Linked DNA regions of Drosophila melanogaster. The gene in region 3 interacts genetically with the main gene of each other region. Each region holds a gene or a part of one and is shown on either strand. Other genes may lie near its edges.

Region 1 (9,819 bases), about 18 Mb from region 3:
TTTCATTTAGGTCTTGACACACATTTGTAGTATTCTAGATAAAAAAAAAAAACAAATTATTTAAATTGATTCCACTTAGTTCGTCGAGTTTTCACTTATTGTGTGTGTCTGTGTGGGCTTGGTTCGCACAAAACTGCATAAATCCATTCATATTCATAATTGTTGTAGACAAGTTTAAAATACTAGACAGTACTTTCGGTTGCAAATTGCTCGGTCTCCGCGATTTCATATTTAAAATTCCTGTTCGGTGTTCAGAGTTGTCATGTTTTGTTTTTTTTTTTACGCTATGCTTGTTAAACCTTCAGTTACAGTTTTCTACAATTTGTTAATTTATTATGAATTAACTAGTTGAAACAATTGGTAGCAAACATTTGTTCTTAGTTCTAGATCTAGAGAAGTAATTGCCTTTGCTTTTGTTACTCGTTTGTATTTCCTCTGGTAAATTTTTAACTGAGAACCCTATAAGCTAGCTAATAATTCAATTTGATAATTTAGACATTTATTTACTTGTTCTTTTTTGTATCCTTAAGATTTTGATGTTGTTCTGGTCTACGTGTTTTTTTGTTTTTTGTTTTTGACAATTTGTTAAGTATGCTACGTGTGTCCATATCTCTTCCACTACCAAAATCCTACTTCTCTTGCCTTTTGTTTTCTAAATGGAGCTGGAGCTGTACAACATATTTTATATTTTTTGTCGTCATTGTTGTTGTTGTACATAAAGTCAAGTTGGTTTACAATTTGATTTGTTATATTGCTGTTTGCTGTCGCTAGCTTGCGTTTATATATATAAATATTATTTTGCGTTTTTTTTTTTGTTCTTTTTTTGTTTTTTATATATTTCTGGATCACATATTCAAGTAGTTTCAAAATCACATAAAAATCACTCTTACAGTAGCGTATACAAAATACATGTGTCATCTATAAATATATATGTATGTAACGTACATATACTTTTCGATCTGGTTTCTGTTTGATTCTTCACAGTTGAGATGGCGTGAAATGGATTTCTTGACATGTTGTAAAATTGCTTTGCATTGGTTTGTTTTGGAATGGGGTTGAAAAAACGCGTAGTTCGATAGACATCCCATGTACATCTCGTGGAGATTCATAAAGTAAATTAGCAAATCTTTCAAACTGTGTCTCCGGTGATGAGAGTCAGTGATATTCTGAGAGAGGTATGCATTCAGTTTTCAGTTTAGTTTGGTAATACACACAATAGATTTGCGACTCAACAGCTCCATTATAAAACCAATTTTCTCATTGTTTGTTCTCGTGATTTTTAGTTTTTTTGTGTACACTTGTATCATAAACTATTAAAGCATTTATAAGTTAACACACAATTGTTTATTGTTATATTTATTAATTATTTGTATTTCTTGCTGATTTGGCTTCTACAAAACATAGTACAAACACACACAGAGATAAGAGCCTTTGCGCTGCCTTTCCTAGTTAGCTTTGTAATAATATAATTCAGTTTTTCATTTGTATATATATATTCATAGTGTTGCTTTTGTTTCAAATAAATGCCTATGTTGATTTCATATTCATATTCAATTCATTCCCAGAACAGTTTCATTTTGATTACATCTTTATCAATTCAACTCAACTAGCTAACAACACGTTTCAGTTTCATTCAACATTGTCCAATTGATTACGTTTGATAATTTTAATTCGCAGAAAAATACAATGGTTTTTGAAGACGGTTTTACATTAACTCTGGTTAACATTTTCATTAAACTCTGTTCATTTCGCTGTATCGAGTTACTTTTATTGTTTATGCTTTCAACATCACACTCATCGAATCTGCGTTCAAATTTCCCATAAATATATATCTGTTCATATTCGTTCTTGTACAATCAGCCAAATGCTGGATTTAATATGACTTAAATACTACGTTTTGACATTGACGATTCATTTTATGCTTTTACTAATTTGGAAGCGTCCAGTTGAGACTATGAAAGTAAAATGAAAATTGAAGTCATCTGCAAAGTAAGTACTTAAAGCACTATTCAAATCACAAAGTAACCTAATAGATTATATACGTAAGTTGATAATTTTGTGACTGGTTAATTGGCATTGGCTTACACGAGCTGCACCAAGGCCTAAACAAAAATCAAAGTGTTTTAATACATTCAACTTGGTTTTCAATAAGACAAAATGAAATGAACTTTCGATAAGGAAAAGCGTTGTCGCCTTTAGTTACTTCTCGTTTCAACGTCTATAATTACTTTTGTGCATTTGAAAAAGGAAAATAAAAGCTGAGTACTGACTAATATTGATTACCCGTCAGTTACATTGATTTTATGACCATTGTCTTGGCTTTTAGTTGTAGTTTGCATTCACAAGTTTGAAACACATACATAAAAAATACAGTTTGAAAATCGGCTTATATAAAATCACTGGTGGTATTTGTTTGTTTGTGGTTGTTTTCTGCTCTTCTATGCGACAATATATTGTTAAATTTGTTGGTTTCTATAAATTTGTTAATAGTCAATTGCTAAAAGTGTCTAGAAAAATTAATATATTATATATTTATATATCTTTCATTCAATTACATCTTGTAATTGTTTAGTTCTCATAATTTCTTATGTAATACTAGTGAAAAGTACAATATGACTGAAAGTGTAGCATATTTAAATACAAATATAGAGATACATATGTGGTTAAAAAAAAAATAAATGAGACATTGCAAATTCGTGCAGTAGATTAGAAAATATGTATGCCTAAACATTGAATATTAAACAAAATTAAAAGAGTTGGTTACATAAATCATAGTACAAAATCAATTTAAAATGTTTTTTCCTGTATTCGATTCGATATGAGAAAAAATAAACAAAAATAAAATTACATACTTATTCGTTTAGAGCAGCTAGCTAATTCAATTAATAGTTTGTGCCTAGTAATTACTAATATTCATGACGATAATTTGCATATTTTGAGTAGATTGAAAACATAAATTATATATTCCCTGCCACATGCACAATTAGTAGGCATGTGTCAAATCCTAACTGTTCAAAAGTTTCAACGTTTTGCTTAAGACTAAAGTTTGCTTTGTGAGTACCACATTGTCATGCTGTTCGCGGTCTTGATCCCCATGATCCATTCATATCCCATCGGAATCCCCTTTCCCATCCCTATCCGATTTTCAGCCAAAGGGCCACTTGTGGTCCTGTTGCTGATAAAACATGTTCTAGGTGTGGGTGGTTATTACCGGCACCTGACAGTAGGGACACTCGGTGACCGATTCAGCGCATGTATTGCAAATAGACAGGTGGTTGCACGGCTCCAGAGTAACCGTGCGATTGTTCTCCTCGCACTTCATGCACTTCTTGGCATTTTCTAAATATAATACTTTGTCGACCTCCTCCAAGTCGGTGCGCAGCTTGGACTAAAATGGTAGCAGGTTAAAACCCATGGAATTGGGAAATTAATTAAGCGACTAACCTGCAATTGCTTCAATTTCTGTATGGACAAGTCCCGAAGCTCTGCTGGCAAATTTAGCTGTATCTGTGCTAGGTCATAGCGCTCCTTCCACTCCTGCGCCTCCTGCTTGGCCTTGTCCCGATGGAGCTCCGCGATCTTTAGCTTGCATGCCATGTCCTCGAAACGTCCGTTCAACTTGTGAATTTGAGCATTCTTCGTGAGCAGCTCATTGGTGATGCGACCCAAGTCGCTGTTGTTTTGCGACTGCAGAGATTGAAGGCTAAACGCATTCTTGGCCGTATTGAGAGTGTTCTCGAACAGACTATTTCCCACCGAGCTGCTGTTGATGTCGTCGCGTATGGTATTCAATTCGGATATCCTTACCGAAGGACTAATCGACAAGCCATCGCCAAAGCCAGGCGATATGATGCGCGACGGAAAGAAGAGACTGCTATCGTTCTGGGTGGCCGAAAGGGAATTGCTGAGTTTGTTTGAGCCGCCATAGTTGAAGGCGTCCACGTTGAAGAGATTGGCATGGTTGGTGGGACTGTAGGTGAGCGAGCTGCTGGGAATGTTGACGGCAAAGCTACCTGAGTTAAAATCTGTGCAAATGGAATGGAGTATTAGCATTAGCAATTAGTTGGCACTCATAGGACGTTGATGACTACTTACCGTTAATTGAGTTACTTAGAGTCGTATTAGGAATGTTAATTGGCGCCGAGGAACGTGTTAATAAGCTAGTATTGGCCAGACTCGCCGACAATGAGTTCTCGCGCGGATCGTCCATTGAGCAAGCTGCTTGCAAAGAGTGAAGACAAAAAATTATTGAATTTCAGTTAGGCTAGGGGTCACGACATTTGCTATCTAAGCGCTGACATTCTTTGTCCACAACCAAAACGAAGAACTGATTTCTAGTGTATAACTTAGACGTACGCATGTCAGGACTCTGGGATACTCACAACGACTGTCCAGGGGTCGTGAGAAACTTAAAAATTTGCTGAAATTTGTTGTGTTTTCCAAAGCGTCTACCAACATTTTATTGGTGCTATTACCATCAATGTTCAACAACTAAGAGAACAAAACGAAAAGAAAAAAATCGAGGAGAGCAGGACACATGATTAAATGGCTTATCGAAAGTGTTAAGCAGTTAGTTGATGATGGTTAGCTGGATTAGAGCGGCAAACGATGTGTGGTAGTACGTTTAGGTTTAGGCGATGCAAATCGATGGCGTTATTTGGATGAGTGTTATTGCTTCGGTAATACGTACATTATCGACCCTTTGAAACGCATCCTGAGCTTTTAAATCAGGATAGGCATTGGAAATAAGCTCGTTTAGGTATACCGTGTGATCCCGCGTCTTCTCGTCAATTGAACATGCTTTATTTGGATTGGGAGTAGTTACATGGACAAGCAACACCGAGCGGCAAAGCAAACATTGATTGATGTACGTGTTTTCAAAGGATTTGAGTGATAGTTGGAAACAGATTTGCGGTTTGATGGATGAGGCGAGTAAAAGACAAACATTAAGTTAGAACTGTAATATCATAACTTGGCCCTAAACACATCCCTACAACAACTGGTTGTGGAGCACAACGCTGAGTCCTATATATTAGCTCATCGAATCCTCTATACTTACGTTCCACATGGGCAAAGGCGCAGAAGACGCTGCGCGGACAGTATCCGGCCTGCTGGACATCGTTGCACTTGGTCGACTTGTAGATCTCCGGGTGGAACTGCTGCTCGGTGCGTGTGTGGCAGTACTGGCAGTTATCGCCGGCCTCGCAGTTGCCCGGTTCTCCCCATTCCTCGCCGTGCTTGACATTGGGGCAAGGAGTGGACCTAAAACAATGGTATATCGCGGTTTAAAACTGACTTTAGGATGAATTCAGGGGAAATCTTACCTGTACTTGTATTTTCTGGGCGAGCGACGTTTGTCCTTGCTATTGTGGTACTGTGGACAAGCGTATCCTTGGCGGCACAGGCGCGGTGGGCGCTTGCAGGGCTCTGTCTTGTAATTGGCCAGCACGTAGTTGGTGTCCTGCCACTTGGGATCCTCGTTCATCAAATTGCGCTCCTTGTCCAGGGCATTCAAAGCATTAGTGCTGTCCAGTGTGCTCTCTGCGTTCTGCAGGGTCTCCAGCTCTTTGATGTCATAAACCGGTGGGCGCTGGTCCTGCATGCCGTGGGCGAAGGCGCAGTGTAGTCCATTCTTGACGCAGTATCCTCGGCTGTCGGTGTCGTGGACGCACATGCATGTCTTGTAGTAGCGCAGATGGTATCGCCTTTCGGTGTCGCCAGCAGTGCGGTGTAAGTAGGGGCATCTAAATGGGGAGAAAGGGAGTTTTAGTGACGTCAAAGCAGGCGACGAGGCTAAGTGAATGGACTGTATGATACCCATTAATTAAAAAGAACCGTAACAAAAAACAACAAAGTTGTACATTTACAGCAAAATCATCATTTTAATACATGTTTGAGGGTATTTCTTTAATAAGTAAAAGAAATTTCTCTTTCAAAACTAAAACCGCTTTCTTTCCACCTTCGTACCCTGTAAGGAGACTACAACGATAAATGGATAGAATGGAGGTCGGGGTCAGAGGTTGGACCTCGAGTCTGGGTCATAAAAACAGACATTGTTGTTGTCTCTCGCAAAGCGTAATTGCGTTTTACTTTTAGCCCGTTCTTACACTTCACAGAGCTTTTCTCCAAAGCTCGCCAGCCACAATAACTGTACATTTCGAAGCTGCCGGGGGAAAATCAAAATAAACGAAGAAGAAAACACGCAAAAGCGAAACGCAATAAAAACAATGACGCACACACTTGTAGCGATGCCCTACGTCTGTGCGTGTGTTTGTTTGTGCGTACCTGTGTGTATGCGAGCGTCTGTGCATGTATACATGCGACAAGAGAGCAACAACCACCACAAAACGGATGCTGATAAGAATTTGCTAGCCCACTAGAGCTGGAATCACTTTCACTTTTGCACGGTGGTGACCTCGCCTGCACACACATACACATGCACAGAGATACAGCAAGCAGCACGCCCACATACGCACTTACAATTTCACTTTTGGCTTTCCAGACAACGCCAGGCCCCTGCCACCGCCCCCACCACACCCCCCTGCACACAAACACACTATGGTTTTTGTTTGTAAACACGAAGACAAGAGATACACACACATCGCGAAGGAAGGAGAGCGCAAAGAGGAAACAAAAAAAATACAACGTCGTTCGCTATTGCTGTCTCATCCATCCTCCGCCACTGCAATCGTCCCGTCCAGCGTTTTCACGGGCCATCAGAAACTATGAATTTCACAACATTTCTACTCACTCGTCGCCCTCGGGACAAATCCCAGTGGTCTCGTCGTATTTGGTGCAATAGTTATCCGCACTGTAGTTGAAGGTGCCATCGCGTTTTCGCACTGGACGACGCCGACGCTGGTTTTGAAAATGCCAATTGAAACAGACGAAGGGGCGATGCTGGTTGCACTTGTGCTGTAAAAACGACTGGCACTGCTCCACGCGGAACTCCTTCAGGTAGCTGAAACGGTTGGCGGAAAGGTTGCACGTCAAATTAACCATCGTTTGCATTAGTTAGCATCTATTTACGTGTAGTGATTTGGTTTTTCCTGCTGCGAGGAAAGCAGCAGCTTGTTCGTTTCATTTGCCAACATCGTTGTTAGTGATGTGCAAAAAACATCGGTGCGTCGGGCATCCATGGCCTTAAGTCGATTGATATCGATAATTTTTGTCGGCATCGTCCATATCGATTGGTTAGCAAATACACACACCCCAGTTGATGGGTGGTTAGCCGGGACGCAAACGAAACAAATTTGGCGCCAAAATTAATGCGAAATTGTTATGCATGTGTTTTATTTATAACAACGCCTATATATTATAACACACATTTCAAAGGGAAAACATTTCGAAGAAGGAAAGCAAAAGCGTTTCTAGTCCAAGGGTATGGGAATGAAGGCGTTGATTCTGTCCGTCTGTCGCTGCGCTATGCATTCGCTAATCCAGACGATATTGCGTACCTCCAACTGTTTAAGTTTAATGAACGAGTAGAAGATCCCGAAATGGTACTGCTGCAGGAAGGTCTGCACATTCTTCTTGGCCTCCATCATGAGAAAGCGGTCCTCCAGCGTAATCATGCCGTCCGAGTCGCGCTCCAAATTGTCAAACATTTTGCCATAGCCATCGAACACATTGCAAACATCCCTTATTTTATCCGTATCATTTAAAGTGGACATGGAGGCCAAGGCTATTTTGGGCAGGTAGCCACAGGTGGGGAACATCTTTAGACGCTCCTTCGGTCTGAGTGTTGGAAGGTGGGCATTATGAGTATAATATGAAGAATTTCATAGCAACACAGATATCTTACATGATATCACTGCCAATAGCGTTCACAGCTATTGTAATGGTCCGACGATCCGCCTCGAAGGACAATAGATTGGTCATCACGTTGGCGGTATTGCCGCCCAGTTGGCTGCAATAGGCGTAGAATTTCTCCAAATAAGCACGATACAGATGGGCACGCACAATCTCCACGTCGAGGTAACGCAACGACTCCATGGGCAAATCGCGTGGCACAAACCGAGCGATGGGCGTGTCAATTAGAACGGCGTCGAAGAGCTCCGCAGAATTCGAGGCCACTTCGATGGCGCCCAGTTGATCGAATTCGCCCAGCGGATGACACATTCTTAGCAGACGCTTCATGGATCGGTGATTGTTTAGGCCAGCGACCAGAAGCGCCACATTATCGATCATGAACGGATATCGTATGAACTCCATAAAGGTGGTCAGCGGCTCCGTCGAATGACTGCGTATGTAGTAGTATTGCTGCAGCAGACGATCCCTAAGGCATCTTTCGATCACCTCAACGGACGGCGCTGATTGTTCGCCACCAAAGATGAGACCGTAATCCGTGCCCTGGATGCTGATCATTACGTCCTCGAGGGATTCACACTGGGTCAGATTTAGATAGTCCGAGTGCTTTAGCATGCCGTTCTTGAATCCGCGCGTTAGGGCCTCCAGGTAGCCATACTCCGTGTTGAATATCATCGACATTTTGACTTATTATTATTTTCGAGCTATCTATTAGTAGGAATTCACACGCCAGGCAACTTTTAAGTGAAAGCAGAAATTGATAGATGGAACATGCGGTGATAGGTATTTCTCGGATGAACTGATTCTGATATAAATACTAAGGATTCTAGATGCTAAAATAATATTTATTAAGCTACAAATATATTTATATATAATATTTAAATATTCGGTGGCGGTATCTACCGATGCACGCTAGATGGCGCTACCGATGGTGCAAGGCTGCCATTCGTTTATCCTTTTTGACAATATGGCAGCGCTCTAACGGTTTTTTAAATTTTAACTTTAAATTTGAAAAGATATTATTTGTTTGGTTTGTTCGTTTTAAAGTGCATCCAACTAGATTATTTTAGTTATAAGAAAATGCACCTAGTTAAAGCTTGCTATTTGAATTTCAGATAGCTATTTATCGGCCCATTCTAACGCAATTTCCGCACATGCGCCTGGAGGATGCTGTACGGAAATTACCTGTTGCTCTGGGCCATTTGTTTACTTGCTGCCAACTCTGTTTGTTTACTCAGTCAACTAGCTGCGCTCGGGCCAATAGCATACTAACTGCAAGTTGTTACACGTTCATTCAACTAGAACAAATAAACATGTGAATTTCTCGCCCGGCCTTTGTTTTTGATATTTCTTTGCCTTGTTAGTGTCGCCGCGTGTGCATCGCATAAATGTGGCAATAAAACGACATTTATTATTGCTACCGAAGCATTTAATTGCCCATCACAAGAGGGTGTCACCTTCTCACGTTGCATTAACATCAAAATGAACTAATTCCTACTGGCAGATGAAAAATGGAACTGTCACCAAAGAAATTCTGCCTTCTGGAGTTGTGAATGTGCTCAAAAAAAAAAAAAAAATGGTAAGTATTGTACTTAAATCACGAGTTTCACCTGTTGCCTTTCCATGTCGTCAAAGACTTTAAAGATATTTAGACAAAGTCATGGCAGCTGACAAAAATCGGTCGATATGGGCAATAAATAAGATCACGTTGTGCAGTTTAAAGTTGGCATTGGCCATGTCACTACCGTAAACTTTCCATGCGGAAAAAACTTAGGCTGCATTCGTTCTTTGTCCCACAAACACAAATCCCTGGACATGTGGCCGTCAAGAAGTCCCAATCGCGGGATGGACAAGTGACGGCTGAAATGCGCTTCCAACTCATATTGCTTTCAACCAAAACAGAAATCATCGCGTGGGTAGCATTTTTTCGCATTGGCGAATACGAATACAATTTTCACGAAAAATATGTCAGCCACATGATGAAAGCAGGAAGTGTTCAAGATATATACA
Region 2 (8,382 bases), about 19 Mb from region 3:
TGCACTTGCGATACTCGTTCACGTCGCAGATGGCACACATGGCGCCAGCCGTGTTGAACTGCATGGTCTGCAGGTGATCGTAGATTACTCGGTGCAACCGAGTTCCAAATTCTGTAAGAACATTCTGCAAATTCTCTCCATCAACACATTTTTTAATCTGCACAATCACGGGCTGCAGATTCTGAACGACTTGTAAGCAGGCCTAGAAAAGAAAAATAAACATTTTTAAGGATAGACAGATAAGCTCGATTTTACTAAATTTATATCTTACCGCTGAAGATATTGTATCCACATCTGTTTCCGGCTTGTAGTCCGTTTTCTTTTGTTCATATTGCAAATATACCTTGACCCAGCCAATAACAGCGCTAATAGAGCGATCAAGACCCTGGTCCAGCTTTGTCTCGATTTGCTCCATCAGAATACGTTTTTTGAACACATAGTCCGAGTACTTGGGTGTATTACTAGAAAAGAATACATTATACATTCTATAAAATGTAAATTAACAAAGTCCTAACATACCTCACACAGGGTATGACAGATGTGTGGCACAGCTTGTCCAGTAGATGGACAATGATGTTCGTCTTTTGCACCACATCAAAGAAGTAGAGCTGGGGAAAGACCCTGCCCTCGGCCAGTGGCACTGCTTGCAGTCCCAACTCCAGTGCGTAATCTACGTGCTCGTGCATCAAGAAACGAAGAAGGATATCGTTTAGCTTTATAGCATTGCCTGGTAGTTCGGTCTCGTTGGACAGCAGGCGACAGCGCTTAAGCGACGCCTTGGCCTCCTGCAGCATGTTGATGGCCAACTCTTCGGATAGGAACGTCTCCCCGCCATAGTCCTCGATGGCAGCAATATTTATGTTAGCCCGCGTGGCTATCAGCACCTCCATGTTTCTCCGAAAGCCCTTAGTAGTTGCAGTCTTTTGGTGTTTCTTGCTGGCATAGAACTTTTCCAGCTCTGTGGAACACTTGGCTGTGAGGCATTTGGTCTCCATTTCGGCGTAGCCGGCCAAATGCTTTATAAAAATCTGCTGTGTCAGCTTCTGTAACAAGTCGTCGTCGATCGTGGACATGTAGATTTGAAGATCTGTTGACAATTTTAGTGTGCTGCAAAGTGGTTGTGAAATGAAAGTAATCGCAAATTTTGACATTTAACGTAACTTCTGAATGACTCACCGCGAGTATAACTCATAAAGGGTGCGAAGATATTTCTCCTCGTCTTTTTTGTCCTCCAACTTAGTCATGGCGTACTGGTGAAGCTTCAGTTGATATATGTTAAGTATGAACTTGGACATAACCTGCTGCGGATTGGCAAACACCTTCTGGATTATCTCGTAGTGATGCTTGCATAGCGGTACAATGCCTATAAATATGTCTTTGCCACTGTACGGTTGCATTTGGCTCTGCTCGATGTATGCGTCTACACACTGAGTGTAACCCTTGAACTGGGACAAGATCTGGGCCAGTGTCTTCATGCGCTCGATGTCCTCGCTCTTCTGGGCGGTGGCAAACTCTTCGATCAACCGCCGCTCGACTTCATCGTATTTCTTTTCGATTTTTCTTTTGGATTCCGCAAAGTTTCCGGGCGGCAGATCCTGCGAGATAGCGTAGAGCTTTTGTATCACATCTGCGGCCTCACTTAATCTTGCGGCATCCGCAAAAATATCGTTGACAATCACAGGGCCAGCGGCTAAAAACTCGGACATAAAATTGAGTAACTTCTGGGCCTCCACTGAACGACTGCGTGGAGTGTTCACATTCTCCAACTGTTCGCCCAGGTGCATGATCTTGCCGGCCACCGAATTGATTTTTTCGTCCAGCTGGCCGAACACATCAATGGCCGTTTGGTGGCGTTCTTGGAGCTTGGCAATCTTTTTGGCGTGCGACTCCTTCTCCTGGCGCAGTGACTCCTCTAGCCGTTCGCACTTGCTTTGTTGCTTCTCCTGCAGGATCTTTAGGTCCTTAATGGTCTGGATGAAGGTATCGTGGAGGGCCACAGGATGAAAGTCCTCGCTGTTCTGGAGTTCATTGTTGGTGCGCCAAGTCAGACGCTCTATGAACTCGCCCACCTCAAAGGGTTCCTGTTGGTTATGATTAATAAATATAAGCCATAATCGGGCCTACGTGACCTTTGAGCCCACCTGTTCAAACTCCTCCATGTATTGGGATAGCATTTTAATGTATTATTAAGTTTTCGTATTTAAATGATCTGATTTAATAGGCGTTTCTTTTCTGCTTCTTCTTTCTATATTATTGTTGCTTCCGCTCAGCTGTTTCGTTTAAGGTTGCCACACTTCTCACTTTCTTTCAGCTGGCAATGTCGCTCGGTTTGTTTACGTTTTTGTTTGCTCTCTTAGCTAAAATTTAAATGTTTGGCGGTTGTTATATAACAAATAGTATGTTTACAATTAAATAAAATAAAACAATGCTTTTATGTTTGCTGATCTTAATCAAATGTTTATTATAATATGAATGCGCGTCTTACTTATTGCCTCGTATCAAAACCACTTTTTTACAACAAATTGCAATGTGCTAAACAAGTTAAAATTTCAAACATTAATATTTTTTATAACCTTTATAATTATTGCGTGGAGTCAGCGATTTATTAAACCTTAGTTACAGTTTTGAACTGAATATGAAAATATGAAGAACCAATAACTTTTTTTTGTAAATTTTCTGTGCGGGTTTTCCCAATAGACATTTGTTTAGCGAAGGAAAGCTAGTTCTTATTTGTTTTTACAAACTGCGTCTGCTGCTACTACTGCAGTTGATCCTGTTGCTGTTGCTGCAGGTGCAGGTGCGGATGCGGATGTGGGTGGGTGAGCGTGTGACCGATGCCGCCGGAGGTCGACGGCAAGTCCAAGGCGTGCGGCACGATGTTGATGGCACTGGCGGTGCTTGCCGAGGAGGCCAGATCCACGGCCGGCGGACGCACTTCGTCCTCGAACTGAGCGCCACCGGCCATGCTGTTCAGCACATCCGGAATAGTGGGCGTGTCCACTAGCTGGTGCAGGTTCTTCAGCTCCGTGGAGCGTAGGCTGGCGGATAAGCTCTCGCTCGAGGCCAGCGACGTGGATAGCGGTGAGTTGCGTTCAATGGATGAAGCTATGTCTGTGGGAGAATGCAATAGTAAGTATTCTTTAGCTGCGAAGCAGCTCTTGCACTCACCAGTTCTGTCCGTGTCCGGGGAACAGGTGTTATGACCTGTTGTTCCTTGCGGCTGCTGCATCATCATCATCAGCTTCTCCTCCATCTGCATAATTATCTTCTTTTGCACGTCATACTTCTTGTTCACGGACTGCAAGGACGACGATTTTTAAGGCTTATTACTCTTAATTGAAATGAAGTTACTGGTAAACACAGACTATTTCTTAAAAGTCCGAACTATTTCAGATAAGTATACGATTTTAAATATCAGCCCTACCTTAAACTTTTCTTCGTACTCATCCTTGACGGTGCTTAGAAGTCGCTTTTGCTCCGTCATGGCCTTCTCGCTGTTGGCTAGCTGGGCCTGCAGGTCGCTGATCTTGTGCTTCATGCTTTCCAGCTGTGATGTCTTCTCGTCCAGGCTGTGCCTCAGATCTTAATAAATAAACTGAATGATTAAACATCCGTATCATATAAACAATGAATAGGCACCCTTCAGTTCCAGGTTGCTGCTCTCTTGTAGCATCTGCAGTTCCTCGTCGCGGGCCCTGAAGTTATCGATCTCAGCCAGACGGTCGCGGCAACGCACTTGCACCTCACCCATGATAATAAACTCGGCCTCCAGTCGTGCCAGCTCCTGCTTGCACTGCAGCCCAATGTCCGCCTGCTGCTGGGTGTGTTGAAGCTCGGTTCCCAAACTGAAGACCTGACCTCGCAGAGACTCCAGTTCATAGTTCATCTCCTTGTGGCGCGCCAACTCGCTGGTGAGTCGCGTCTGCAGGTCATCGTTTGCCTGCCGCAGGCACTTCTTTTCCTCCAGTTCGTGCTGGTACTTAGCCCTCATTTCGCCCAGCTCCTCCTGGTGGATGTTCTGGCGCTCGTTGGCCAACCGAATGGCCTGATCCATTTTGTTTGCCAGATCCTTGTTCTTCGCATCGAAGTTCTTAAGCTGCTCCCTTAACCGATCCCGCTCCATTTCCAGGCTGCGCTTGTCCCTGCTTCGCCCCATGAGTCGTCGATTGCGCTCTGCGTGAATGGATCGACGGTAGCTTTCGTATTCCAGCTGTAGGCACATCAGTTGACCCTGCTCGGCGTCAAAGGACTCATTGGCCTTGATCGCATGCTTAATGTATTCGTCTAGAATATCTTGCGGGTACAGAAGGTTCCTTTCATAGTCGATTCTTTGCTCCTTGCACTCCAGCAGGAGTTCAATAAGCCAATTCTCGTACTGCGCTGGAGCACTGTCCAGTCCTTCCACCGTCTGGGTGGAGGCATGGGTGCAGCTTCTAGCCGTATCCTTGGGCGCCGAAATGGCCAGGTTCCGGCCGCTCCTCTGCAGGCGGCTGCCAGTCTTTTGCGTATTTCCATTCTCCCCTCTTTGTCTTTGGCTCGAACAATCGGCCTCGTCATCATTCTCCTCCAGATGCTGCTGCCGCATTCCGGAAAGGGCCGAGCAGGATTTGGTTCGTCGCATTGGGTTCTCTGCCTCAGTACTCCAACTTGCCTTCTTTGCCGCCGAACTTCTGCTGTCCGCACAGGAACCATTTCCACTGTAGCTTGCCATACGATTGCGGCGCTTCTTTGCCAGCTGGTGCATGGATCGGCTGGTGGGCATATGAAGTCCACCCACACTGCAGAGGTTCCTATCCGTCTCGTTGCACTCGCCACAAACTGCAGCGACCTCCTGCGTGACAGATGGATAGACGGAACCACCAACAAGGGATAAATCGGAGTTAATTTCTGGCAGGCTGCTTGGACAAGGTGTGTTTACAGATCGCTCCACGTTATGCCTGTCCTGGATGACCTGCGACAGGCGACGGTCATAGGCAGTTCCTCTGTTGACCTCCAGATATGAGTGGCTGCTCTCCTCCGCCTCGCGAGAGACATCCGGGAAACTGAACTGACTCTGCTGGTCCTTGCGCATGGGTGAAGAAGGCTGGCTTACGGCGAAGATAGCTCTCACAGCATGCGAATTGACCGCACGTCCCGGCTGCTTGATATCCCTCATATCCTTTAAGGGGGTGGTTTCCGGTGTGGCCTCCACAGCTGCTTCGGGCGGTGAGGAGCCAGTCATGCCAACCATAAGCTGAGAGTTCATAGCCGGTTGTAGTGGCAAAATAAACGATGTGGTGGGTGTAAGCGGTATGCCGCTACTGGTCGTGGCAATCTCGTTATGCGGACTCCAGATCGGACCCACATCATCACCCGAGGCAAACGAATCGAAGCGGGTGTAGACATTTCTCGATTGCTGAAACTCCCTCAGCTGATAGCTGTAGTCCGTATTCGAGGTATTTGAAGTCATGCGACTGTATCCTGGCGTCATGGGATACGCATAGCTGCCGTCTTCGTTGCTCGTCTCGGGCAAGAGGACGGGCAGCGATAGGTTGGCGCACTCCATAACCACGTCATGCGGCTCCATCTCCTTCCATCGCGTATTGTTTACCTCAGTCTCTGGCGTGGCCGTCACCAGCATGGGATGCACTCGCACAGTGTTCAACAGCGGCTTGATTGTATGCTGGAAGATGCCCCCGCCGTTGCCTCGCTTGATGAACTCCACTAAATAGGCAATAAAGCTGCACGGATACATGCCGTACAGGCGGTGAAATAGCATCTGTAGACCCAACTGCAGGTGGACGAGCTTCTCGTCCGGCAGTTTATTGCTATTCTGCAGCTTCCACGAGGCCAAATGCCCGAACACCTCAAACAGATCGTTAAGAAAGTTGGGCACAGAATTCGGTATGATCGGCAGCAGAGTAATTATGCACAACAGGGCGCTCATCAGCGGAACTATCTCCTTCTCGTGCTGTCAGAGAAATGGAAGTGATGCTGAACTCGGACAAAATTGTAAACACCCATAAACTCACCGTCATAAGCTTAAAAACACTTTTGATCAGCCGGTGTTTCTCGATCTTGTACAGCCAAGTAGGGTGATGGCGCACAATGAAGCAGAACACCTGGAGGCTCTGCACTCGGTGCTGCGACTGCTTTAGGCAGTCGTCCAGCTTGTCAAAGATGTACCCATCGTGAGGTGCCTGGGCTTTGACCAGTACCTCCAAAATGCGCTGAGATCCAGTTGTAAAGAAGTAGTCCAGCATGAACTTTACCACCCACTGCTCCTTGTCTGTGGGGAAATGGTATGTTGGAATAGGTGGCATATTAACTGAAACTGGCGAGGACTCACTCTGGGATAGCAACTCCACAAGCTTGCGCTTGGCCTCCTCGTTCTCCAGCGTCATGTTGGACTCCAGGTCACCAATGATCTTCTCAATCACCATGACGGCGGCTTTATTGGTTTCCTGTCGCTATGATTGATTTTTCCGCCCGCCCTCGGTCGACTGTTCCTGCTCCTGCTACTCCGCTCCTGGTCCTTCTACTCCACTCACTCGTCGTCGTGGTTGTCTTTTGCAGAGCTGCGTGTGCTTTTTCTCGTCTTGGTCGCTGTGAACTGGAGAACAAGGGTTGGCATTGAAATTCCCACTGCGTTCGATGCACTGCACTATTGTTTCGGTTGTGGAGTGCACATTTAAAATGCTTACCTCTGCTAAACTCATATTTTTTTACATGTTTGTCTTGAAAATGAAAAGGTTATTTTTTTGTGATATTCCTCTTGCGCTGTTATCGCCAGCCAATCGATGGTTTTGTCTGGCAACGCCGCTGGCGAATGTCCGGCAGCTTTGGCCGCAATCAAAACAACATCAGCTGTTTTGGCGCAACTTTTTGCCAATTCCGGTGCGAATGTTATAATCGATGTAAAATAATGCATTACTCAATAATCCGAAAACTGGTAACGGCGCCAAAGCTAGCCAACGTTCCCAAAAGGTAATTATGTGAATTAATATTATAAGGATTCATTCCAACGCTCTGAATTTCAGGAAATGGAAAAGCGTTGTGGGTTTGGAGGTGCACGCACAGATTGCCAGTGCGTCCAAACTGTTTTCCGGCAGTGGCACATCCTTTGGAGCACCACTTAACTCTTCGGTGGCGTATTTTGATGCCTCCATACCGGGAACATTGCCAGTGAGAATAGGTACTCTCACTTAAGACGCCATCATTACATTGTATCCTCTGCTTTTAGGTTCTCAACAGAAAATGTGTGGAATCCGGCATTAAGACATCACTTGCTTTGGGATGTCGGGTGAACGAAGTGTCCATGTTTGACCGCAAGCACTACTTCTATGCAGATTTGCCTGTAAGATTCAAATTTCAGTTTACACCACGCTAAGCCTTATAAGTAATAAACTTCTCCTCCCCAGAATGGCTACCAAATCACGCAGCAGCGCGCCGCTTTGGCCAATGATGGAAAAATGACTTTCCCCGTGATAACACCAGGCAAAAAAGTTTACTACAAGACCGCCAAACTACTGCAGTTGCAATTGGAACAGGATAGTGGTAAATCTCTGCACGATGATTATCTCAAAAGGAGCCTGGTTGACCTTAATCGTGCTGGACTTCCTCTAATGGAGCTGGTTTTTGCACCAGATTTAGAAACGGGCGAAGAAGCGGCATCGCTGGTCAAGGAATTAATACTGATACTAAGGCGTCTGCAGACATGCAGTTGTAAAATGGAAGGTGAGTCAAAAGGGATTTGTGTGCCTTTTTTTAAACCGAGTATTTTTTATTGTAGAGGGCGCCCTGCGTGTGGATGCCAACATATCCATTCACCAAGAAGGCGATCCCTTGGGAGTCCGCACCGAAGTAAAAAACATTGGCTCGGTTCGAAGCATTTCGCAAGCAATTACGTATGAAATTAATAGACAGCTAGAAACTGTGGCTAATGGCGGTGTAATTACAAATGAGACTCGCAACTGGGATGCGGAGAACCGGCGCACAGTGGCCATGCGTGACAAAGAGGTGCTGCAGGACTACAGATTCATGCCGGAGCCGAATCTACCACCCCTTCATGTAAACCTAAAGCCTGGATCAATGTCAACAGAGGATTTACTTTCAGTGGCTGCTCTAAGCGAGGAAATTCCAGAATTACCAGAGGACACCAGGCAACGTTTGGTGGAGCAGCACAACCTGAATGCGGAAACTGCCATCATTTTAGTGGTGCGTGCTCTGATCCTTTTTGAGTCAACAAAAAATTTGAAATTGCAACACTCCTCGATTTTATTTCAGAACGAACCTATTCTGCTGGATCATTTCTTGAGCATTACCCGTAGTTTAAGTGATTTGCCCAACAAAGTCATTTGCAATTTTCTTATAAACGATTTGTTGACCTATTGCAACAAATTG
Region 3 (5,657 bases):
GACAATGGCAGTCGTGGTCCCCACCATCTCGATGGTGGGGATGCGGTGCGGAGACCTCTGCTCGCTGACAAGGAGGAGTCCAAATGGTACTAAAAGCTTTACGTAATATTATTGTGAGTGTTGCTTTCCCGTTTAAGGTTTTTAAACATATTAGACAATTTCTGATTTAAAAATGTGCTGCTGGTTTACCTCGTAATAGGATGGGTAGGGTTTGTTAATAAAAACTAAGCGCGTCAATTGCTAAACGTAAATTTATTGCTCATCTTTAGCAGCAACATCCAAATCTAATTTGCTACATCAAAGTGACCGAAACTAGCCTAAAGGACACGATATGCACACTCAGATTCAAGTCATGGAATTGAAGGCCTGCAGAAGCACCTGTTTTTCGCGCTCCTTTTTCTTAACTACGTCAAGACTGCGTTGTCGCCACGTGCTCTTGCGCAGTTTGATAGGCCGGCTGCCCACATAGCGGCCGTCCATCTCCTTCATGGCCCGTATAAAGTCGGCCGGTTCTCTGAAGCTCACGAAGCCAAATCCCTTGCTCTTGCCCGTGCGCTTGTCCCGCACCACACGGGCCCGCTGAAACGAGGGGAACTTGTTGAAGGTCCGGGTCAGGACCTCGTCGTTGACGTCGTTTCCCAAGTCACCACAAAAGATGCGGAAGTCATCGTCGGGCCAGTCAGCCAGCGAAGTATCCTCCCACACGGTGCCGCCAGCGATACGCACCGTCTTGCGGTCTTTCTTTTTCCGCTCTGTTGTCTGGAAGGATTGCAGCGCCGATGATGCGCGCGCTGCCTTAATGGCCTCCTCTGCAATGGGATTGGGTCCAGACTTTTCCGCCTTGAGCTTCTTCAGCTTCTGCGTTACGTCAAAAGAGACGGCGTTGATGTCGATGGAGGGCGCGGCGGCCACGGTGGGCACGTGCACAGACTGCCGGCACTGATAAAGTTTGGGGGCGCTGCTCAGGACTACGGGAGTGGCAGACATAGCCTTGGAAGAACCACCTCCACTGCCCGTAGGCACGAAGGTGGACATAAACGTGGGTGGAGGCGGCATCGGGGGCGGGGGTACGGTCAGACGCGATCCTCCATTGCCCTGGTGATGCTGCAGCTTGTGCTGCGAGTTTTGGTACGTATTGGCGGCTATGATCGGGCGCACCTGGTTGGGCACGAAGAGATTGCGGGCGGGGGGCTTCGAGATCTCCGCCTCGAAGCGTGAGAGCTCATCCTCGATGTTGCGACGCTTTGTACCCATTTGAAGTGGGGTTTTCTCTTTTAAAAAATCAAATCAAAGCAAGTTTTTACGAAAGTGCTGCAGAAAACTCGGAGTACTAAACAAATATCGATTTCGTTCCCAATCGATTGCACTATTTTTATTTTAAAGGCCTGTTTAGACATGTCCACAGAATCAGGCTCTATTTGCAATATATAACAAATAAAACAGTTATTTTAATATCATAAAACGAAGACATTTAATATGTTTTAACTATTTAAGAAAATAACTGCGACTTTTTACACTTGATTACGACAAGCACCTTTCCGAACGGGCCTTGATATTTTCTGCAATTGTTGACCGTTAAACTAGTAGACGATAGTGTAGTGTGACGGTTCCTCATTAGCTGGCAAATGCCTTATGTTAGTAGGCTAGGAGTGGTATTTCGGCTTCGTCGACACCAGCACTGATTCAACTTCAGAATTACTGTTTTCTTTTAGACGATCTGATAAATAATACTGGAATTAAAATCGCCGGAAAAGCTCTAGCTGTGATAGAAAGTATCCTCAGCAAGCAAAATAAACGCAGAAGCAATATTCCTCATACACACATTTAAAGAAGGAGCACGGGCATACCCACACAAGCGCACAAAAAGTCGAGGGGCGACAGCAAAAACAAAAGTGTGGAAAATCACAAAACCAATAAATTTCTCCATTTATTTCAAAGCACTGGGCCCCAGGAAAATGCCAACCAAGGAGCGCCACATAGCCATGATGGGCTACCGATCAGTGGGTGAGTTTTCCCAGAAAGTTCCGCCAGAAGCACTGACACTGTTGCTGCTGGCACTGGTAATTGCGTAGTATTTCGACAACAGCAAGAACTATGATCAATTGACCATAATAATTACGCTTCGCCCGCAGGCAAATCGTCGCTATGCATACAGTTCGTGGAGGGCCAGTTCGTGGACTCCTATGACCCCACCATTGAGAACAGTAAGTGTCACATCCCATTCCGTGCGGATTTCTTAGAAGCCAGGCTGACTCCATGCTTCGATAGCAGTAGCAATGCGTAATGATCGGTAATTCCCATTCGCAGCCTTCACCAAGATCGAGCGTGTAAAGTCGCAAGACTACATCGTAAAGCTCATCGACACGGCGGGCCAGGACGAGTACAGCATATTCCCGGTGCAGTACAGCATGGATTACCACGGCTACGTCCTGGTGTACTCGATAACCAGCCAAAAGTCTTTTGAGGTGGTGAAGATCATATACGAAAAACTGCTCGACGTAATGGGCAAGAAATAGTAGGCTTCTTCCCCGTGGGTTCCGCTTGAGAGCTAAGCTAATCTTTTTTGCCTTTCAGTGTACCTGTGGTGTTGGTCGGCAACAAGATCGATCTCCACCAGGAACGAACCGTTTCCACGGAGGAAGGCAAGAAGCTGGCCGAGTCCTGGCGAGCTGCATTTCTCGAAACGTCCGCCAAACAGAACGAGGCAAGTACCAAGACGAATCACACTAGCTGAATGCAACTAAGGTACTTCCTTCGCAGTCCGTGGGAGATATATTCCATCAGCTACTGATCCTCATCGAAAACGAGAACGGCAATCCCCAGGAGAAGAGCGGTTGTCTTGTATCGTAGGGCGGCTGAGTAGCTAAAACTACGGCCGAACTGTTGGAAATACGGCAAATCGCTATGGCAATACGAAAATCGATTATCTCTTATCTACACAGTTGGGTCAGCGTGCATGGCGGGGCCGTACCCTTTGTGCGCAGCAGGAAAATCTAAAAATCTAATAGACCTAGTATTCTTAAGACCACACAGCAAGTAACCAATATCAAGCGATCTGAATGCGTCCGCTAAACGCTGCCCAGCAGGTTTTGTGGTTCGCGTCTGGCGCAACACAACAGGTTTAAGTTAGTACGTTTTTTTTACAACAACAATTCAGTTACAAATTTCATATACAAATTCTGCAAACTTTTAGTTTCAATTTAAATATAATTTTTCAAAATACTATTCAAGATTGTATTTTAATGGTCAACATTTTCGATTGTGAAAAATATAGAGGTTGATTTACTAAAGTTACAAGTGCGTCGAGAAGACCTGCCAGTTGCAATTCCAAAAAGCTGGATTTACTTTATCTCGTCCCTATAACTGATTAAATAGGACCAATACCTTAATGATTTCTATAGATTCCCAACCGTTGTGAATTCTCTGGAGACCAAGGTTCAGCAAGTAAAAGAACTGGGAGGATCTCGGTATGGTTCTTAATAAGAGTAATTTCAAACCAAATTACTATTTGGATAAACTGAAAGACTCACCTGGCCACTCTAGCAATATCTGCATCTGTTAGCAAAAAAAGGGGTCTTTAAATTTTAATACCGCTATTTCTTATGTCACAATTGGTCGGACGAATTTGATTGAATTAAGATTTGGCTGGCTTAATATTTCTAAAGACTGATTATAGAAAAAAGACATAGAAATTATTTCGCATTAAACCGATTATGAATAAAAATATTTCTTGTCTTACTTATCTTAAATCTAAAATGCCGGCTAACAGAGCGTTGCGCGGACTAACAGTGCTGTTAACTGTCAGCTGCCATAACCCACCACGAAAATAGCAAATCCACCACAACGCGAGTTCCAATCGGACCGAGAGTTAAATGTTTTCCGATTTTCAAACAGCGAACTTGTGCGTGCGTTAAAATTAAACTCGTTCAGCATTTAAATCGTGTGAGATCTTTGCCTTTTAACGGTAATTTACCAAAGCGAGCGATTCGTATTAAATGTGAATGTTCCCCATGCAGAAGAAAGCGAGCTTGTTTTTCTTCTCTATTTTCTGTATTGCAATTGTTTTTTTGGCTGACTTTGGCTGGGTCTGTGTGTGTATACTTGTGCGCAATGCGTGGGTATTTTCTCAGTTTTTTGTTCTATTTTCAAATTTTATTGCTCTCGCATAATGGTATACATATGTACATCATTATGTTTGACCGTTATTTCGAATCTCCAACACCGCGAGTTTTTTGTGACGGCATTTCCCACTCACGATTTGTAAGCAATCTCTATACATTTGTATGTACATATGTATGTGGATAGGCATGTTTGTACAACTGCACTTACAACCCGCTAATCAGGTGCAATGCACATACATTCATCGATTCCGACTCGGAATCCCAATCGGAATCCGAATGGGTGGGTACTGGCTTTTCTTGTTGCTTCCTTTACGGGCCACAGCCTTTTATCGATTTAATAACAAACGAACGTCAGCGAGTCGTTGGACTCTGCAAAAACCGGCACTCGCACTTGGCGGCGATGTCTGGCCAGGATTAGAGATGGGAGCTTTCAGATGGCAACGGAATAGATGTTATTGACGTACTTACCAAAGCTTACATATGTATGTGCAGATATGTTTGATTTCCAGGTTCATTTAGCTGACTGGCGATAAGTGTTGCACGCGTATCAATATTCATACCCCCTGGTGGTGGTGGTGGATCTACAGAACCAGGCTATGCCCATCTGGGGGATGGGCCCATGGCTGATAAGATATGTCGCGATTTTATAGCGCCCATAAAAGCCGCAGCAAGCCCACAAAACAAGTGAAACCTGCCGATTGTGCTATCAGGGGATTAAACTCACAAAATGAAAAATCAGTCCATACTACATTGTAAATATCGTTGAAGCTCTTATTTGCAAATTAAAACACATTACTCCTTGGCTTTAAAGACACAATCTAAATGGAGTAACAAATTGAAATTATACTTATGTATTTTCCTTACCAACAACTCGCTAGTTTGATGACCTTAACTGACCGCAATTAATAGTATTTTTATTTATCATCAAGCTGGCCTGGGAGTCCCGTTAGAGTGCTTAATTGGCACAGCAAGTGCCAGTGAGGCAACTGCATTTTTCAAATTAAAGAGAACTAGCGACCCACAAAATTCGTACAGCGAATGAGCTTAGCACATTTTCCCCGCATTAATGCGGCTGCATTAATTGCATTATGTACCTGCGAGCCCACTTGTGTGCATTATGTATGTTTAAACACACTCCTTCCGCGTATTTACATATATGTGTGTACATACATACGTATGCATGTAGCCATGCTAAAAGATAGTCTAGATCTAGATCAGTGCAGCCAAGCAGATGGGGTTTTTGTGCTCGGATGTGCGCCGCCAAAAGGGGAAAGTGCTCACTTATCCAATCCCACTGCCGAGCTACCAGTCGCAATTGAACTAATGAAATGTAGCCATCCTCCAACACGTCATGCAGCCCGATAATCATTACCACAACTCAGTTTGCAGACACACACACTTGCGGTAGAAGCAGTAGTTTCTAAATCAAATTTAATATGCTGCAGCTAAAGTACATTCAGAAAAAATCTAGTTTGGACTTCGTTCGCTGTATAATTTTAGTTATTCGACCAAAATGAAAATTGAAACTGAAGCAAT
Region 4 (6,252 bases), on a different chromosome or scaffold from region 3:
CATTGAAAACACAACCCCTAAATCTGCAGCAAGGATTTTTTACAATAGAAACTGAAACGGAATCGCGGTTTTACATATTTCTGTTTAAGAAGAGATATATATGTACTTTGTTACTAAGTTCAAAAAGGATAATGCTTACACAAAAAATTAAATAATCAATTAAGGAATAGTTTTCAAATTTAAACAGAATACGCTGCATTCCCCTACTATTTAAATAAATTTAATTAAATTAACTTATCAACTCCGATGAGATCAGCATCCTATAAATTAGCTGCAGTTTCTTGCCATCTTCACATGACTGCTTAAACTTATGAGCTGAGATCAGGAGCAGGACATTTACCATAATAAATTTATAACAAATGACATTGGGCAGCTTAATAAATGTGAACCTATTAGTCCGAGGCCCCAAGCAGTGACCATTTAAGCAGCCGCATGCCAATTGAACCAGGCGCACACATGCACAGCCAGAAAATGTGGCAGGACGACGATGTGGACATGAAATATTATTTCCCTGTGCGAGCGGAAGTGTGAGTAGTCCGGGGAGTCAGATGTATAAATAGTTTGATTTAGTGCCGCAAAAACGATGACTGCGAAGGCCACAAGGACATGGTCAGAGCGAGCGGTGGATGCTGATAGCAAGGACTGTGCGATCAATTATTGCTCCATGACTGCTGGCGGGTAAACAAGTCAGGAACGTGCCTTTAATTAGTTTCAATCAAATAGTCGAGAAATCACATGTATAAATTATAGACCCATCGGGCGATTCCTTTACCTTTCTTCTTCGAACTTAACGAACAACAGTGAGTGGTAACGTGACTATTTGGGCAAACATATTTGTCACATTAATGACGCAAGAATGTTGGCCTGACAAGCTGGAAAAGGGACAGTTTTACGGCTGTGCGAAATGTGTCATTAAAGCGACAATTTACGCACTGTGAGGTTTTGGGACTTGCGAACGAGAGAATTGATGATGTGACTCGGGAAAATCCAGCGAATATCATACATATGCTCATAAAATGGCACATCATAAAGGGTGCAGTTAAAACGTCTTTAGGGTCCGTAAATCGACGGGTTAGCCTGATTCACGCAACAATGTCAACAGAGATCGGATCGATTAGCAACAGGGATAGCGAAGGATTCGCATTGGTTATCTGCATATTTATTGCATTTATTGGTGTAATTCAATGGAGAACTATGTTGGCCTGCATATATATTCATATCTGTATATTCAATGCAATATTCTTCACATTCCATCTTTCCGTCGGAATCGCCGCTATTTGTATGTTTAGGTGTGAGTTGGGTTGTGTGTTTTCGTGGTATTTCATTTAAAATTATTGCCATTTCTAATGTGTAGTCTCAATTATGATTTCGTGCGTATCCAGATCGGGCACGGCAAACTTCATGGGCAAATAGTCGTCTGGATGCATGTGGGACATCTGGTTAACCTCCAGCTGGGCCCTTTCGTGGTCCTCATGGCACTTGGCTTCGTGCTTCTCATAGTCAGCGAAGGTATCAAAGATGGCCCGACACACCATGCATTCGAAAAAGCTTCTGAAAATGAAATGTTTTAATTCAATAATAAAATTCACAACAAGCAAATGTAGAAGGATCAAGGATAGTTTTGAGGCTAGTCAATTAATATATAAAAGTATTGATTGGGAACGTGTACACCTTCAAAAATGCATATAGTATTAATTGTTCATAAAAGGGAAATGAGCACAGTTAAGCACACTAATCAGCACCGAATCTAATCATGACCCGTCGATAATCGGTGTCGAATAGGCAACTTAAGGTAGGTCTGAACAGGTTGAACTAATCAAAGGGCACCTTGATCTTCTACAGCCGGCAAGTACTCACGGTTTCTGCTCCGACTCAAGCCGTTCCCTGGCCAGGGCGGCAGCCGCCTGGATAGAGGCGGGCACGTCCACATCGACGCCCTCCTTTATGTGCGACTGCAAGTGGCGCTTAAAGTTTGACAGCTGGGTGAAGCCCTTCTCGCAGTAATTACACTGGTAGGGCTTGGCGTTGAGGTGGCCAAGCTTGTGTTTCTTGAGGTTAACCAGCTGGGAGAAGTACCTGCCGCATCGCTGGCAGCGGAACGGCTTCTCGCCAGTGTGTGTCATCTTGTGGCGCTTCATGTTGCTCTGCTGGGTGAAGGACTTGTTGCAGAAGTTACAGGTGAATGGCCGCTCCCCGCTGTGCACCGCATAGTGGCGCTGCAGGTTCACAGCCTGGGCGAAGGCCTTCGAGCAAATGTTACACACGAAAGGCCGCACATCGTTGTGCACCTTCATGTGACGATCCAGGTTCCCCGAATTGCAGAAGCTCTTCGCGCACAGCTTGCACTCGTAGGTGGTCTTGTTGTGGTTGTGCACCTCTTGTCGATGCAACGTCTGATCCCGCTTGCTTCTGAAGGTCTGCATCAATGGATAGTGGTTAGATTGAGGTAATAGGAGACATTTCCCACACACTTACTCGGTCGCAGCGCTTGCAGCTGAACTGATTGGCCACCGTCTCGTCGAATTCTACCTCCATGCCCGCCATTTCGCCGTTGGCTAGCACATCGACTCTATCCGATTGGGAGTTCTCAAGAAGTGGACATCGAAAAACGGCAGGTCAGGCGACGATAAACTCACTATAATTAACTTATTCTGTAACTCGGCAATTTTTCGCGTCCAGAAAAAAGTCATATGGTGGCCTAGAGTGACCGTTTGCGTTGAATGAAAAAAGACCAGATTTAACGAGTACCGCTACAACTAGACTTGCATGTAAATTCAAAATATTACTTTGATAATAAGTACTTGGTATAACCTTTATCTTAATTGCATAATTTAAGTATATTCATGTAGTAGGTATTCCTCTTATGTTCTGTTGGGAACGGTGACTTGTGCGTGCTATTCGTTACCACCACCAAAAAGTGACCAGTAACAACCGCAATGTTCCATCTCTAGATAATCCAAAGGCGTTAGTGCATTTTTCCGAGATGCTGAGATAAATAGAAATTAATTTTGAAAAAGAGATTTTCTTTTGTTTACTACCATGGCGACCTACTCCAACCAGCATTGGCTGCTCTCCCACATCCGCAACTCCTTCATATCCACGGACGACACCGGAATGTGCGAGACGGTGATGCTGAGCGATGACATGCCCAAACACTATTTGCGAAAATTCGGTAACTCGGGCGCTGGAGGAGATCACTATCATTGGCGACGGGCGCACAAGACACCGCCGACGGGGGGCGGGACAACACCGGAGCGGAACACCCGGCATCCGGATGCGCCACTCCAGGAAGTGGACTTCATCTGCTATCCGGGACTGGACCTCAGCGACGACGAGGAGGACATGTCCACGCACTCCTTTGACATCCAAATGTATCCGGAGGTGGGCGCCCACCGCTTTCGCTCCAACACTGCCCAAAAACTAGAGAAACTGGATATTGCCAAGCGAAGGGCGGCGCGCATCAAGAGTGTTAACTACCAGGAGGAAGTGCAGCCACCGGAGAGCGATGATTTCTTTAAACGCAAAGAGTTGCCCCTCAGCAAAGCTGAGCGAGTTAAAAATGAACCGAAAGCCAACGACGATGATCTGTCAGATGAGGGTGTTCAGAGCCAGCTCACTGAACAGTTGGCCAAAAGTCCAAAGCAAGCACAGAATCGCTTCATTGAATTCGCCCGCTTCGATGGCACCTCCCAAGTGGGTATGCAAACGAAACGGATAAACGTGTTTTTAAATATGCTTCCCGAGCCGGATCGCAACTACCCGTTGAAGATCTGCGTCGTAGCCACTGCCAAAATCCAGGAGGTAATTGGTTTTGTCTGCTACAGGACCTCCTTACAATATCCCGACGTTCCTTTGAAGTCCCTGCAGCATTACGCTTTGTATATGACAGAGGATAATGATGATATGGAAGACTTCCCACCGTTGGACAATCGCGAACCCTGCTCTAAGTTTGGCTTCTCCCAACTGACCCTCGCAGAGCGTCGGCCATTGGCTCCAGTGACGCGAGTTGATTACCACAGCCAGCTGGGCAGTAAATCCATGACTTCCGTGGAAGACAAGACAGCTCTGTCCGATGCGGCTGTCAAGGCTCTGCAAAATATTAGCCTAAATGGAGGAACTAGTGATCCGGGTGGAGGAGGTGGAGGAGGCGATAGTCCACACGATAATGTCAAGGAGTATGAGAAGCGATTGTTGAATCACAACGATATGCTGGAAGCACCCATGCATCGTACTTTCCGCCTCAACATCATCGACAAGAGGTTCTTCAAATCCGATGTGACTCTGGGAATATCTGGTGAGAGAATAGAGATCGATCAGTGCAAGAATGCCAAGTTCTGGCCGCAGAAGAAGCCCGTATCCACTCCCATTGACTTTGTTGCTCACTGCGAGATTTTGGAGCGACGCCACCTGAAGGCTCTGTTGCGCATCTGGCTGAAGTCAAACTCCTCGTCCCCTTCCTTCTCCACGGGCTGCACTTCGGCGCCGATCAACGCCAGCGTAACCACACTGAATGCGGGAAGCGGCAGTGGTGGGATTGCCCACTCGCCCAGCAGTCCGGGTCACTCTTCCGGACTCTTTTCAAGCAGCAATATTCGCTTTAAGCACTACGACTTCGATACGGACACCCACACGGCGGAGCAGATCCACAACAAGCTGAACTGCATACTAGAGATGCGATCCAGCGATCTGAGGCGCGAGTTCCTTTTGCAGCGCGATCGGAAGCAGGAGAAGAGGCAGCTGAAGTTGTAGTATTTATTCCTATGGCAGCGGCTGTCGCTCGTTTGCCTAGCAGGCGGGCAACTGTCACTGCCGCTGCAACGTCCCCGCCTACTTCTCCGCCTCCGCCTCCGCCTCCTGTTCGATAAGTTGTATTAGTTGCTAACTAAAGATTGTGTTACACATGTTTGCCTAGCCTGTAAGTATTTATTGAACTCACCCAACTACGAAGCCTGGTCCTGAAAATAAAATTGCAAAATTTACACTTAAAATCGGTAATCTCTACATTTTTGCTTCCGCCTTGCCGCTGGCGTTTACATTGCGGTTTTGAAGCGATTCACGCGCGATTTGGCCGCGTTTTTAGCAGTATATCTGGTTTTCATTTCCGTTTTTCTCACTCTACCCACTGCAATTGTCTGTAATCAATGTGCAATTAATCGCACAGACAACCAGACGGGGACGGATCCAACGGTTAGTCGTATTACTGCACATATTGTTTTCGGTCTGGCTGTTTATTTTTAGTTTTGCAATGCCAGCGATGACTGGGTTGGGCGCCTAGGTCGCCTGCTAACAGCTGTGGAGTAGTCGAGAATAATGGCTAACTGCCGTTAGACGATCGTTGCATGCATATGCATCTGCAGCGTCGGCTAACCAAGCGATTGCAGCAGCGCGTTCTAAGGCCAAGGTTAGTGACTCGAAATCACGCCAAAATGCGCGACATTTGAGGCCGTTCGTCTGATGGCGATGATGATGCTGTTGGCGTGACCAAATCGAGGCAAATGTCAGCTTTCGATTTATGTTCAAGTGAACAAAACATTGCAACTGACGCTGCAATTCCCCGAGGAAGTGGCTGAGGTGAGACCTAAATTCAGCATCACTCATACGCCGCATAGGCAGCAAAAAAAACAAAAAAAACAACAAAATACCTAACAAATCCGCGCGATCTAAAATTGCCGATAAAATAAAAGGAAAACGCCCATTTTCATGTTCGATATGACCAGTCTGTTTGGGGTTAAATGATTTATGCCTATCTGATTCAGCCTTGACAGAAACTTCGGCCCATTCTTTCGCAAGACAAATTTGAATATCGCAGTCAATTTGTCAAATGCAATGGTATTTATAGTACGAATTGAATTTATTATCGGCAAGTGCGTCGCCTTCGAATTGTTTGTTTTTTTTTTTTTACGCTACAGCTCACTGAATTTCACCGAAAGCAACATAGTTATCAGCTAATTTGCCTAAGCAAATTCAGCAGAGGCGGCTAATTTCGACAAGGATGCGACTGCGGCTAATTGAAAGGCAATAAATGCATTAAAAATAAAGCGGCAACAACCTTGACATTGAAATTGAATGACAAACAGTTTCACTCGATATGAAAGTTGCCAGGCATTATGCCATTTTATATACATACATGCCACATATAGTATGTACAATACATACATATATGCAGTGTGCAAAATGCCATTTGACAATTTCTGCAACCCCCTCGAAATGCGTTTCGCGTTTCGTTTTTCGTCTGCCAACTGCCAATTAAAT

The links.
Region 1: of Rheb (region 3) and unk, changing one suppresses a phenotype caused by changing the other (phenotypic suppression), as found in Drosophila melanogaster (one study listed by BioGRID).
Region 2: of Rheb (region 3) and Tsc1, changing one suppresses a phenotype caused by changing the other (phenotypic suppression), as found in Drosophila melanogaster (2 studies listed by BioGRID).
Region 4: of Rheb (region 3) and Sin1, changing one suppresses a phenotype caused by changing the other (phenotypic suppression), as found in Drosophila melanogaster (one study listed by BioGRID).

What each region holds. Positions count from the first base shown.
Region 1 is NT_033777.3:23,150,750-23,160,568, forward strand, and holds unk (unkempt), read right to left. Parts: upstream 7,114-9,819; 5' UTR 7,095-7,113; coding exon 7,030-7,094; intron 6,962-7,029; coding exon 6,752-6,961; intron 5,745-6,751; coding exon 5,325-5,744; intron 5,263-5,324; coding exon 5,060-5,262; intron 4,801-5,059; coding exon 4,691-4,800; intron 4,492-4,690; coding exon 4,383-4,491; intron 4,222-4,382; coding exon 4,096-4,221; intron 4,026-4,095; coding exon 3,445-4,025; intron 3,389-3,444; coding exon 3,191-3,388; 3' UTR 1,343-3,190; downstream 1-1,342. Other genes in the region: VhaAC39-2 (vacuolar H[+] ATPase AC39 subunit 2), read right to left, coding at 7,371-7,737, 7,805-8,490. UniProt on the Drosophila melanogaster protein: Essential for late larval/early pupal development.
Region 2 is NT_033777.3:24,128,706-24,137,087, reverse strand, and holds Tsc1 (Tsc1), read right to left. Parts: upstream 6,782-8,382; 5' UTR 6,684-6,781; intron 6,593-6,683; 5' UTR 6,423-6,592; coding exon 6,329-6,422; intron 6,269-6,328; coding exon 6,012-6,268; intron 5,951-6,011; coding exon 3,640-5,950; intron 3,583-3,639; coding exon 3,425-3,582; intron 3,299-3,424; coding exon 3,169-3,298; intron 3,112-3,168; coding exon 2,759-3,111; 3' UTR 2,434-2,758; downstream 1-2,433. Other genes in the region: Sec10 (secretory 10), read right to left, coding at 1-202, 272-461, 520-1,107, 1,177-2,081, 2,142-2,174; GatB (Glutamyl-tRNA amidotransferase, subunit B), read left to right, coding at 6,905-6,966, 7,020-7,164, 7,223-7,336, 7,401-7,716, 7,772-8,196, 8,266-8,382.
Region 3 is NT_033777.3:5,567,268-5,572,924, forward strand, and holds Rheb (Ras homolog enriched in brain), read left to right. Parts: upstream 1-1,653; 5' UTR 1,654-1,772; exon of another isoform or gene 1,773-1,938; 5' UTR 1,939-1,955; coding exon 1,956-2,004; intron 2,005-2,132; coding exon 2,133-2,204; intron 2,205-2,307; coding exon 2,308-2,515; intron 2,516-2,574; coding exon 2,575-2,704; intron 2,705-2,760; coding exon 2,761-2,850; 3' UTR 2,851-3,224; downstream 3,225-5,657. Other genes in the region: CG12746 (uncharacterized protein), read left to right, coding at 1-93; CG2931 (uncharacterized protein), read right to left, coding at 346-1,254. UniProt on the Drosophila melanogaster protein: Binds GTP and exhibits intrinsic GTPase activity. Activates the protein kinase activity of TORC1, and thereby plays a role in the regulation of apoptosis. Stimulates the phosphorylation of S6K through activation of TORC1 signaling.
Region 4 is NT_033778.4:14,408,868-14,415,119, forward strand, and holds Sin1 (SAPK-interacting protein 1), read left to right. Parts: upstream 1-2,957; 5' UTR 2,958-3,039; coding exon 3,040-4,749; 3' UTR 4,750-4,984; downstream 4,985-6,252. Other genes in the region: CG17385 (uncharacterized protein), read right to left, coding at 1,344-1,551, 1,858-2,417, 2,476-2,544. UniProt on the Drosophila melanogaster protein: Component of the target of rapamycin complex 2 (TORC2), which transduces signals from growth factors to pathways involved in proliferation, cytoskeletal organization and anabolic output.